3 linked regions of the Macaca fascicularis genome follow. The protein of the gene in region 3 interacts with the protein of the main gene of each other region in a pairwise test. Links are inferred from orthologs where the notes say so. Each region holds a gene or a part of one and is shown on either strand. Other genes may lie near its edges.

The links.
Region 1: the proteins of CCNH (region 3) and DUSP12 interact in binary tests that used the Homo sapiens proteins (3 or more experiments, as listed by UniProt). The two-hybrid records come from large-scale screens. The link is inferred for Macaca fascicularis from reciprocal best matches to the Homo sapiens genes CCNH and DUSP12.
Region 2: the proteins of CCNH (region 3) and KLC3 interact in binary tests that used the Homo sapiens proteins (3 or more experiments, as listed by UniProt). The two-hybrid records come from large-scale screens. The link is inferred for Macaca fascicularis from reciprocal best matches to the Homo sapiens genes CCNH and KLC3.

Annotation. Positions count from the first base shown.
Region 1 is NC_088375.1:99,344,690-99,348,690, forward strand, and holds the start of DUSP12 (dual specificity protein phosphatase 12), read right to left. Parts: upstream 2,801-4,001; 5' UTR 2,768-2,800; coding exon 2,424-2,767; intron 2,371-2,423; exon of another isoform or gene 2,342-2,370; coding exon of another isoform or gene 2,263-2,341; intron 890-2,262; coding exon 776-889; intron 691-775; coding exon 572-690; intron 187-571; coding exon 90-186; intron 1-89. UniProt on the Homo sapiens protein: Dual specificity phosphatase; can dephosphorylate both phosphotyrosine and phosphoserine or phosphothreonine residues. Can dephosphorylate glucokinase (in vitro).
Region 2 is NC_088393.1:53,392,238-53,396,530, reverse strand, and holds the start of KLC3 (kinesin light chain 3), read right to left. Parts: upstream 2,801-4,293; 5' UTR 2,491-2,800; intron 1-2,490. UniProt on the Homo sapiens protein: Kinesin is a microtubule-associated force-producing protein that may play a role in organelle transport. Plays a role during spermiogenesis in the development of the sperm tail midpiece and in the normal function of spermatozoa.
Region 3 is NC_088380.1:91,395,782-91,399,992, reverse strand, and holds the start of CCNH (cyclin-H), read left to right. Parts: upstream 1-1,411; 5' UTR 1,412-1,521; coding exon 1,522-1,638; intron 1,639-2,960; coding exon 2,961-3,083; intron 3,084-4,211. UniProt on the Homo sapiens protein: Regulates CDK7, the catalytic subunit of the CDK-activating kinase (CAK) enzymatic complex. CAK activates the cyclin-associated kinases CDK1, CDK2, CDK4 and CDK6 by threonine phosphorylation.

The DNA of each region.
Region 1 (4,001 bases), on a different chromosome or scaffold from region 3:
TCTTCCTACAGAAATTTAAGAAAATAAAACTTTAGCTACTTTTCAGTTACTGAGAAGATAAAATATCCAAAGGATACAAAATATTTTACCTGCACTTTCTACACTTGTAGAGAACCTCATCTTTCAATCCTTGTGAAACCGTGGTTGGGTCAACAGCAAAGAGTTCTTGAGGTAAATTCTGCAATTCTATATGATATAACTAAAATGTATTTATTTGTCAAAATCAACTGCATTTTCAGATAAATTCAGTTAATGTCAAATTGAGGCAAGAAGTGCTAACCTCAGAAATTAAAATAAAAAAAAAAAAATCAAATTCCAGTGTTGAGAAATCAGGCTAAGGTAGGAGAGGACAGTGATTTAAGTACTTAGGTTCTGGGCACAGGCTGACCGAGTTCAAATCCCAACCCTACCATTTATAAACCATGTGATTTTGAATAAGTTATTTCTGGCTAAATCAGTTTCAAAAAGAAACAATAGTTTCTCGGGGATTGCTGGAAGTGAGGTAATGCATGCAATGCCAAAAGTAAATGACATTTAGAAAGCCCATTACACACTAGTGATTATTACTTACCTGGATACTTCTCTGTAACCTTTTGTAAACGATATTGCTTATAAATTGCACTAGAGGTATCCACTTCATATCCCATTGCCTGGTATAATTTCAGTTGCCACTCAAACCCCTCATTCATCCTGTAATGATAAAGAAATACAAAGTTTCATTTTCTTAAAATAACATCACAAAAGCAGAATTATTACTATAAAAAAAAGAACCCACTTGGCCTCTGGTTTGAGAATCTGGAGCTTTTCATAGGCTTTTTCAAAGGGAAGTAGGTCAGTCTTCATGAGAAAAGCAGTTATTATGGCCACACTTCGACTGACTCCTGCGTGACTGAAAAAGAGACCTTTAAAATAAAACAGCAAATAGCAACAATTAAAAACAAACACACAAAACCCAGCCCCCTATTAATAGTAAAGTTTAGGCCCACTTCATTTCTACTTCTCAGATAAGCCCATTGCCTCTGAAATATTATCAGGTACAAAAGAATTATTCCTTTTTCCTTTTGAATTCTGAACCATGTGACTGTATTACCTATTCAAAAATAATAACAGTAATTTTTAAAATTTTTATAATGGCTCAGAACAAATCCAAACTCCTGGCTAGACACAGTGGCTTACTTACCCCTGAAATCCCAGCACTTTGGGAGGCCGAGGTACGGGATTGCTTGAGCCCAGGAGTTGGAGACCAGCCTGGGCAACAAAGTGAGACCCCACCTCTACAAAAAATTAGCCGGATGTGGTGGCGCGTGCCTGTAGTCCCAGCTACTCTGGAGGCTGAGGCGGGAGGATCACTTGAGCCTGGGAGGTTGAGACTGCAGTGAGCCGTAATTACGCTACTACACTGCAGCCTGGGTGACAGAGCAAGACTCAAAATAAAAATAAATAAAACAAAACAAAAACAAATCCAATCTCCTTTCATCTTAGCATTCAGGGACCTCAAAATCTGGTCCCAGACTTCTTTCGATTCTATCACTATCTTCTGTCTTTTATGTGCTCAATAAATTTAAACTATTGTTATTATACTCCAATCCAACCAAGAACTGCTTAGGGATTCCCATTTTCTTTTCTTTTCTTTTTTTTTTTTTTTTTTTTTGAGATGGAGTCTTGCTCTGTTGCCCAGGCTGGAGTGCTGTGGCACAACCTCGGCTCCCTGCAACCTCTGCCTCCCAGGTTCAAAGTGATTCTCCTGCCTCAGCCTCCCGAGTAGCTGAGACTACAGACGAGCGCCACCACGCCCGGCTAATTTTTGTATTTTTGTTAGAGACGTGGTTTCACCATATTGGCCAGGCTGGTCTGGAACTCCTGACCTCGTGATCCGCCTGCCTCCCAAAGTGCTGGGACTACAGGCGTGAGCCACCGCGCCCTGCCGGGATTCCCATTTTCTTTTTGTCTTTGCTGCAACTATCTCCTCCCTAGGTAAAGCCCAGGGATCCTTTAGATCCAAACCAATTCTCCTCTTCATCAACCACCCCCTACCCATCCCAAACAAAAACATTGAACCCTAAATCTTTGTAAATCCTGTTTACAAGACACCAAGCAACCTAATCTGCATTACAATCATCGGTGGGTGTCTAGCTTCTCCAACAGAGCTGTAAACTCCTTGGGGCGTAGGTAATTTGTCATTTATCGGATGACACCTCCCCCGCCCTCTGTTGCAGCAGGAAGAACCAACTAAAGCATGAATGAATGAAAGCCTGCACACACCAGGGGCCCGCCTCCAGCCTCCTCCTCTCTTGGATACACGCCTCCTGCGGGAGGTAGCTGGAGGAGGTTCACGCGGCATGACCGCGCTCTCGTCCTCCCGAGGGCCTCGGAAGGAAAGGGGTGCTTGGCGGGGCACGTCGCCCACTGACCCGGCCACTCACCAGTGCACCAACACCGTACGGCCCTCAGCGCGGGCCTGACCGATGAAGGCCACGCACCGGTCCAGATGGCTGAGCAGATCGGTCTCGGGTTTGTCCAGCGCTGGCACGAAGAGGCGCCACAGATCCTCGACCCCAGGCCCCGCCTTGAAGCTGGGCTCCTCCGAGTCCACCGTTAGCACGGCCGTGATGCCCGCTTCCCTCAAGTGGTCTGGCTCCGCGACGGCCGCGACCCCACTGAGATACAGTCCTCGCTGCACTTCCAGCATCTGCCCGGCGCAGGTGGCTCTGCTGGCACCGGGGTTGCAGGGCTCGCAGCCATGACTCGGGCCCGGAGCCTCCAACATGGCCGCGCCCGGACACCAGGCGGCTCCTGCCCTACCATCGAGTAGGCTCCGGCTAGAACATCCTTCCCCTGGGACTTGCCAGCCTCAGCGGCTCAGCTGCTCCCTTGGAGGACCACGTTGGCCGCAGGAAAATGGACTTATCGCTAAGGGGCGGAGCTTCGGCCCCATTCAGCGCGGCGTTTCGTGCCCTGTTCCCTCTGACCCCCACCCCAAAGTTGATGGTAAAGGATAAGCTTCCCCAAATACAGGGTTTCTCTGGCTTTTAATATTGAAATTTTCAGGAGAGAGACATCAGGAGCAGCTGAACTCAAATGTGAAATAAAGGTCGCGCCGGCTGAATCAGAAGCGTCATTTTATGCATTTGAAGTACAATTATTTTCAGTATTATAAAGCCATCTGTACTTTGCATCTTATGATTATTTTTCCTTTTTCTGCCCAATTTCATTATTGGTGTGTGAATCCTTGTTGATGTTTACTGTCTATTTATTTTGAAGATGTTAATCCTATATTTTTGTAAGTCAATGTCCTCCAGCCAGGACTACCCGAAACCAACTTTAATTAAGCAAGTTGGTTTTATTACTCAGTCATGAGCTATGGAGAGTTTCAGGGCATCTCAGCACGAGGATGTTAGGAAGATCCTATACAGATTTTGGGCTTTTATCTGGGGATTTTTGGAAAGGGTTTAAGGAAGCCGGCTTTGCTCCAGATTGAATGCTGCAGGAAGATACTCAGTACTATGAGTATCTTTTATTTATCTCTTGTATAGGGAGGACTATTGGGGGAAATTCAGCCCCCAATATTTCACGTAGGTTCTTTTCTATTTTCCCTAAGTGTCAGCTGGTCTGAGAAATAAAGGGAAAGAGTACAAAAGAGAGAAATTTTAAAGCTCGGTGTCTAGGGGAGACATCACATGTCAGGAGGTTCCATCATGCCCCCTGAGCCACAAAACCAGCAAGTTTTTATTAGCAATTTTCAAAAGAGAGGGAGTGCACAAATCGAGTGTGGGTCACAGAGATCACATGCTTCAAGGGCGACAAAAGATCACAAGGCAGGAGGTCAGGGCGAGATCACAAAGTCAGAGTGAAACTAGAATCACTAATGAACTTCCATGTCCAGCTGTGCACACATTGTCATGGATAAACAAGGTTCAAGAGCAGAGAACTGGTCTGACTAGAATTTGCCAGGCTGGAATTTCCTAATCCTAGCAAGCCTGGGGGCACTGCAGAAGACTAGG
Region 2 (4,293 bases), on a different chromosome or scaffold from region 3:
AGAAGGATTGCTTGAACCCAGGAGGTTGAAGGTGCAGTGAGCCATGATAGTGCCACTACACTCAGCCTGGGCGAGAGAGTAAGACCCAGTCTAGAAAAAAGGAAAGGAAAGGGAAGGGAAGGGGAAAGGGAAAGGGAAAAGGAAAGGAAAGACAACATAATATACATTCACCTCTTAGAAATAACAACACGTACTCACTTCTATTAAATATACAACTCAATACAAACACCTACATTTTCCTTTTAGAAATACAACCTAAGACAACACACCGACTTAGGCGCACACATACGCTATTCTTTCAAAATCAATCTGTACACACTCCCCTTTTGCAAATCCCACCTAACACACAGGTATATTCTCTTAGAAATAAAAGCCAAGCCTGGGCGCAGTGGCTCATGCCTGTGATCTCAGCACTTTGGGAGGCTGAGGTGGGTGGATCAGTTGAGGTCAGGAGTTTGAGACCAGCCTGGCCAACATGGTGAAACCCCGGCTCTACTAAAAATACAAAAGTAGCCAGGCGTGGTGGTATGCGTCTGTAGTCCCAGCTACTCAGGAGGCTGAGGCACGAGAATCGCTTGAACCCAAGAGGCAGAGGTTGCAGTGAGCCAAGATCACACCACCACACTCCAGTCTGGGCGACAGAGCGAGACTCCGTCTCAAAAAAAAAAAAAAAAAAGAGAAAAAGCCAACCCACGCAGAAACTAACTCTGTCTCTCCCACTCCCCAAATCACTCACATTCAGACCATCTCCTTGTACTTGACCGTGACACTCATTGTCCCCCGAACTCACACAGCCCAACTCCCCACAATGTGCCCAACGCACCTTCAGATGCACACATTCCCAGGATTCACTGTTGATCCCTCACCAGTTTCCCCACTTCCTCTTCCTCCCCCTCCACGCCTGGCCAGCAGGGACTCCCACACCTACACGCCATGCACTCATGAATACTTGCATTCAGTAGGAACAGAGAGCTGTGAATATGCGTAGAGGGATGCCACATTCTCACACTCTTCACTCGAGCCACTGCATCCACCATAAGGAGCCCAGCGGTTTCTGCACAGGTTGCACACGCACGATCACATAAAGGGTCCTGTACATTCTGTGCACCACAGACTTGATCATTTTTTAAAAAACTAAACTATGCCTAGCTCATTTTTGTTTTTTTGTAGAGATGGGGTATCACCATATTTCCCAGGCTAGTCTAGGACTCCTGGGTTCAAGCAATCCCCTCACTTCAGCCTTCCAAAGTGTTGAGATTACAGGTATGAGCCACTGCACCCGGCCAATCTCTATGTGCATGTGTATGTCACACCATACCTAGTCTCACACCTCACTCACAAACATCATAAATGGTTGAACTCACAACCACACAGGCTCATCAAGAGTCATCCTGACAACCACAACCATTCTTCACACAATTTTGCCGATGTAACAACCTCCCTCCATAACCTCAGACACAGCCTTACACACACCACTCCACAGCCAGATGGACAACCACAGCAACAAACACGGCTTAACCACTGCCATCCAGCACACGGGCTGTGTCCCAGACACATAGCAGCTCCCACCCTCACACAGAGCCCTGGGTACAAAACCGCACAGCTGATAATCATAGGCACAGTCCCACACACCGATCCCTGGGGCTGACCCCCTTTTCCATCCGGTCATCTGCTCAGAGCAGCACCCCACCTAAATGTCCGCGTCTCCACTCCCATCTCCCACACTACACAGCTCCACAATAAACTCTCCATTGCACACCACTGCCAGCCACGGCATCAATGCAGGTCACACACCCTCCAGTTCCTCTCTACACACACACACACAGCTTTACACACCTCCACACCTCACTCATCCAACCCCAAGGTTCCACACACAACGTCCCATGAAACGGTCTCGCTTCTGGACACAGTTCCGCCCACCCCATACACCATCAGTGACAATCAAAAGTCAATCATAGTCACCTATCACTGATCCAGTGCAACACACTGTCCACCACACACACCAACAGGCAGAAAGACAACCACAGCTGCACAACCCCTTGGTCAACATTCACACCTAATCCTACAACCAGTTCCACTCCCTGCCATACACACAGCCACACACACAGCCACACACATGCACATCAGGCCAAGCAGAAAGTTGACTACAGTCGCACTTGCTCTTGGTCATAGACATAAAGTGCTATTGACAATCCGATTCTACACACACACACCATTCCCGTCAGAGGTCGCCCACATTTTCACATTGCTGAAGGTGTCACATCGTACACACAGTCGCTTTCACCCTCATACCCACAGCCTGACACACTCTCTTGCACACACACAAAGCCTGACACACACACAGGCAGGCAGGAGGCTCCCATCGTGGCCCAGCCCCGCAAACCGCACCACCTTACCCTGGCCGGCCCAGCCCCGCGCACCAGGCTCACCCGCCGTCACAAGGGCCCCCTCCTCCCTCCCCCTAGGCCCCGCCCCGTCCTCGCTGTTTACCTGCGCTGGGGTGGGGGGCGCGCGGCCCCAGCCAGGCCTCCAGACCCCGGAGAGCCCCAGGACGGGGCAGGGGGCATCTGGGAGCCCCAAGGCCCTTCCCCGTCGCAGGACAAGCGGGCCCAGGGTTGCTCCAGGCCCCATCCTCACCCTTCGCTCCCGCCCCCCATCATCGCGGCTCTCCGAGAGTCCCGCGCCCCACTCCCGGCGCCCACCTGACCGCGGGCGGCTCCAGGCCCCGCTTCGCCCCACTGCGCTCGGTCGAGTCCCACAGGCCAGGCACGCCCCGCCGATCCCGCTGCGCCGGGCGTCTGGGACCGCGGGCGGCTCCTCCGAGGGGCGGGGCGGCTGGGAGCCATGCCCCCGCAGGTGAGCCGGCCACGCCCCCCGCCCGCGGGAAGTTCAGCCTCGTGGCTCCGGCCCCGCGGGAATGGCAGAACTTCGCACGCGGAGCGGGTAACCTCCAGGGCACCTCGAATCAGGGTGATTGCAGCGCAGGGGCCTTGGCGAAGCTAAAACCTTGGAAACGTTAGATCCCAGACCGGTGGCTTTCTTGCAGTGCCTGCCGCGGAGCCTTTTCCTTGTTTGCATCGCCTGCTTCGATCTCTCTTCCCACAGATCTCATTGTCTTTAGGTCTCTTCTCAAAGACCACCTCCTCCAGCAGGCCTTCCCTGATTGCCCCCTTCTAAATGGCACCCTTCCACCAAAACATTACATACTCCTCTTGATTTTGTTCACAAAACTTTTCAGGGCCTAAATTTTTTTTATTTATTGAGAGGGAGTCTCGCTCTGTCACCCAGGCTGGAGCGCAGTGATGCGATCTTGGCTCACTGCAACCTCCGCCTCCCAAGTTCAAGCGATTCTCCCATCTCAGCCAGCTGAGTAGCTGGGACTACAGTTGTCCACCACCACGCCCGGCTACTTTTTATATTTTTAGTAGAGATGGGGTTTCGCCATGTCGGCCCAGGTTCGTCTCGAATTCCTGACCTCAAGTGATCCTCCCGCCTCGGCCTCCCAAAGTGCTGGGATTATAGGTGTGAGCCACCGCCCCCGGCCCCTAAAGTTATTTTATATAATATATATCACATCATTATGTTATATAATATACATTATGTTATTGGTAAGAGAATGTGATATCTAAGAATTGGGCTTGGGGTTCAAATCTGATTCTGGCACTCACTTGCTGTGCAGGCCTTGGGCGAGTAACTTAACCTCTCTGTGCCTCAGTTTTCCTAGTCAATAAAATGGAAATAGTCTAAGGCTTTGAGAATTGAATGTTAACTAATACAGGGACAGTACTTTTTTTTTTTTTTTTGAGACACAGTCTTGCTCTGTCGCCCAGGCTGGAGTACAATGGCGCTCTCTTGGCTCACTGCAACCTCCGCCTCCCGGGTTCAAGTCATTCTCCTGTTTCAGCCTCCCGAGTAGCTGGGATTATAGGCACCCACCATCATGCCTAGCTAATTTTTGTATTTTTAGTAGAGACTCGGTTTCACCATGTTAGCCAGGCTGATCGTGAACTCCTGATCTTAGGTGATCCGCCCACCTCAGCCTCCCAAAGTGGTGGAATTACAGGCGTGAGCCACCGCGCCCAGCCAGGACAGTACTTTTATCAGGGCCTCGCACATAGAAAGTACTTAGTAAATACTTGCTACTGACTGTCAGCTCTGAGGGCAGGGCTCTATATTGTCACCACTGTATCTTCAGCAAGAGCCTGGCGCAAAGTTGGTGCTCAGTAAATTGTGACTGAATGAAGGAATCAAGTCCTAGAATAGTAAACTGGCCAAAGCTGGATGGACATGATT
Region 3 (4,211 bases):
ACAAAATGAAAAGAATTTATATGATATATATAACTGTCATGAGTCTAATACTTTATATAGACATTTAATTATCTAGATCACTTATTTTCCTATCTTTTGTACCATTAATGTTTTTCTCCATTAAATTATTCTTTCCCCCATATGCAACATTTTAGGTTGTTCACAATTCGTTGTTATCAATTTGCCATGCCCTTCAATCTTCTCTTTCTCTTTTTCTCTCTTAGCCAATTTACGACACCAGATTAGCCACATATGTTGAGTGTGTGGATCGCCAAAATTATAAACCACAAATGGCATAAGTTTGAGGAATTCAAATAACTCTGGCAAACTCTAACCTCAACTGCACCCAACAAAAATGAACAAGAAAAGACTTTCCCTATCTTAAGCCTCTAAAAACATTTTCATAGAAAGCAGAGTTAAAGCCATCCTGCCACTTCTTTTTAGGCTTTTCAAGACCTAAATTCTCTAGGTCTCATCATCTTTCTCTTTCTATTTATTTATTTATTTAGAAAAGCTATTTGCCATAGGGAAATTTGGATATATAATAAATACATGAGAGAATAAGGTATGCCTAAATGGGACACTTCAGAATCAACATAAATTTTGGATCTCACCTGCAATTTTGAAAGTCCTATTAATTTAAAAACTAGTAAATACCTTAATATTCATGATAGCTTACTGTAAGATTCCCTAGAGGCAATGAAGATGGGAATCTCAAGAAAACTAAAACTACCATACATCTTGGCTTCAGAGGTGAAAATAGGGGGAGAGGATTGGCTAGTTATCAACAGAAGGGAAAGTGCTTTTTGCACAGAGAAAGAATAGACAAGGCAACAAAAGTGGCAAACTGTAAGGGCCAATACACATCCACTGCTTCAAGTTTTTCAGCCATGTTCCATTCTCAGAGATTTCTGGTAGTACTTCAAGAACACCGATCTCCAAACTCCTCCTGAAAAGGGCTAGGAATGCTTCTGCCTGAAGATCTTACCTATTCTTTCTGGGCCCCATGATCTCCCTACATGATTGATCAACCTACTATTTCAACTCGAAAAAGCCTTTTCACAAATGTCAACTTCAGTGAGGCCTCCATTTAAAAATGAACACCCTACCAAGTCCTTTCCTAATTTCTGATTACACCCTGTGAATTTACATCAACCTACCCCACACCCTCAGTTTATGCCTCTTTTGAACATTCCTGCCGGGCTTCTCCTTTAAATCTTGCCTGGAAGGGGCGGAGCTATGTCCCAGGCTCACCGGGAGGAGCGTTCCGTAGGCTCCGCCCACCTACGTCTCAGAGGGCGCCCCAACGAACCCTGGATAAGGTCTCTTCCTAGTCCGCTCCGGAAATGCGACTGCGTACGCGCTGGACACGCAGTCGTGACGTCAGCGCGCCCGCGCCGGCTGGCCGGACGCCCTAGGCTTCCGCGAGATCTTAGGTGGGGGTTCGGTTGCTTTACGCCACGGCACTGCTGCGGTTGGGTTGTCACCTGTAGGCTGTCTGGACCTGGTCACGATTCCACAATGTACCACAACAGTAGCCAGAAGCGGCACTGGACTTTCTCCAGTGAGGAGCAGCTGGCAAGACTGCGGGCCGACGCCAACCGCAAATTCAGATGCAAAGCGGTGGCCAACGGGAAGGTGAGGTTTTCCCGACGGTTGCCCAGTTGCTTGGTCACTAAATTCTGAGCAGCTGCGGGAGCTCTTCTGGCTCCCAGGACAGTCTCACTCCCTCATTTCTCTGCCTCTGCGGCGCGGAGTGCGTTTATCTATTAAAATAAGCGAGCACCTCGCGAGGTTCCGTGGGTACAAAGACGAACAACGCCATCCCCGTGGTCGAATGGCAGACAAGTAACCAGTCTTTGTAACGTGGTGAAGAAGAGAGTAGGTAGTGTGCTAAGGTAGTGCGTGGCAAGAGCCGTTCACTTGTCAAGCGGTGATGTTGGGGAAGGTTTTTCCCAGTAGCCAATGCGGAGAAAATGGGGAAAGGACGTTCCAGGCAGTCAGAACTACCGTGCAGAGTGGGAGGGAGGTCAGAAGTTACAGGGCTGGTGCGTGGACGTGTTTGTGGTCGTATGTGGCCGAATGTGAGTACCTGTACAGGAATGGCTGGGGAGGGTAGGAAGGGAACTTGTTTGTAAGTGGAAGTGAGGCGTTTGAAATTTCCATTGAAAGGATGAGGAACCTTTGAAATATTTAAAATGGGAAGCTAACCTTATCAGATTTCCGTTCTGGAAACAGCGCTCTAGCAACCTCGTGGTGAATGGGTTGGATGAGGCGGGAGACCGGCGACGGAATACAAACCAAGTGACTAAAGATAAGGTTTGGACTGTGGCCCGCTAGCCAAGTCCCTTCTGTTACAGCTCTAGGACTGGTTTAATCTTTCTTACAAGCTCCACTCCAGCAAGTGTTCAGTGCCTCCAAATTACTGACACTGAATTACTTTACTTTCTACCTTTAATTCACATCACTGATTTTAGCACCTGAATTAGTTTCCTTAAGGGCTGCCTTAAAAAAATCACCACAGACTGGGTAGCTTAAAATAACAGAAATTTATTGAAACATTTGCTGTTTTTTTACAACTTGTGTCGTAATGACTGACCGAGAAACGAATGTTGGAAGCTTTCCAATCATATTTGTAAAAAGTCTATCTACTTTTAAATTTGTAAATAATGATATCACAGCTGTGAGCATATGCACATAGCCTATCGTGATTGTTTATATAATGAAGCAAAGGTCTAGCTGACATTCCGAAAAGTTGTGAAATGATGGTACAGTTTTAGTTTATTGTTTTCCTACAGCTATTTTGTGTAATGATTAGCGAATCTATAAAGAAAACGAGGCGTGATATATTCCCCTTCGTTGGAGATATAAACTAAATTTAATCTGGATAGAGAAAAATGTTTTACAATTGTTTAATTCATTGAATTCATTGAACTTGTGTTGTAATTGTTGATCTAAAGGTTCTTCCGAATGATCCAGTCTTTCTTGAGCCTCATGAAGAAATGACACTCTGCAAATACTATGAGAAAAGGTTATTGGAATTCTGTTCGGTGTTTAAGCCAGCAATGCCAAGGTCTGTTGTGGTAAGTTACAGTAGTGATGAAATATAATGTCCTTTAGTTGACTTGTGAAATTTGACCTCTTCTAAATTCCCTGTCCACTCTAGTCTTAAAAATTCACGTTAGTTACAATTAATTAGTTTTTGGCACATTATATCTTTTTCAGTTCAGGCCTTAACTCTTGAATTGCTGTATCATATCTTCAAAAGTATTTCAAGTCTCATTTTGTGGTCAGAAAAAAATTTGAGGTCAGGTAATGTTATAAAGAAAGAAACAAAATAAATTACTTTCCTCTAAGTTCTCAACTAGTGAGCCATAGAACTGGGACTAGAACATAGACTACTTGCTTTTCCAACTCTGTGACACCCAATAAATGTTTGAAGTAATGCATTCTTTCATAATTGGTAATCATATGCCCCAGCTGAAACTGATACCATAAGATTTTTTTAAGCCTTAATTAGTAGAAGCTGGAGTTTTATCTTTGGTTAAAAAAGATTGTCTTATTGCTTCAGATGTATGGTTCTGAGGACCTGTTTGTTTTTTGCTGGGGTGGGCAACCGTGAGGAGAAACAGGTAGCTGAGATTAAAAAGCAGAAAGATAAAAAAGCTAGAGTGGGAGGGTGTTTAAAATGTCTTTACGTTATTCTCTCACAGGTTTGTTGCAAAGAACAAATATAGAAGTGTATCTTAAGTAAAAGACTGTTAAATTTTAAAGTTATACAGTGTGACTAGCTTACGACCGAGTAGAGAATAATCTTCTGGGAAATTATCTCCATTTTTATAGTTGAAAAAAATTTGAAGTATGTTGAAAATATTAAGTCCATAGAATTTATAATTTTTTTTTCATCTGAGATATCAAAGATTCAGAGAGAGTTTTAGGTATACTTGATTAGTTTATATCTTCAGATTTGGTTTATTCTTACAAAAGAACTAAAATGAGGCAGTAAATTTAAGTGATCTTATCAAATGAAGAAAAAAATCCTTTAATGAACTTCTTTATGGAATTTATTTTTAAATAACATGTTTATCATTGGTGAATAATTTTTTGTTATACATAATGACAAAACTAAACTTTTAAAATACTTAAAAGGAAATATTCTTTTTTCTATCATAAAATAGATTAGTGGTTATTTCATTGGTTCCAGCCAAATG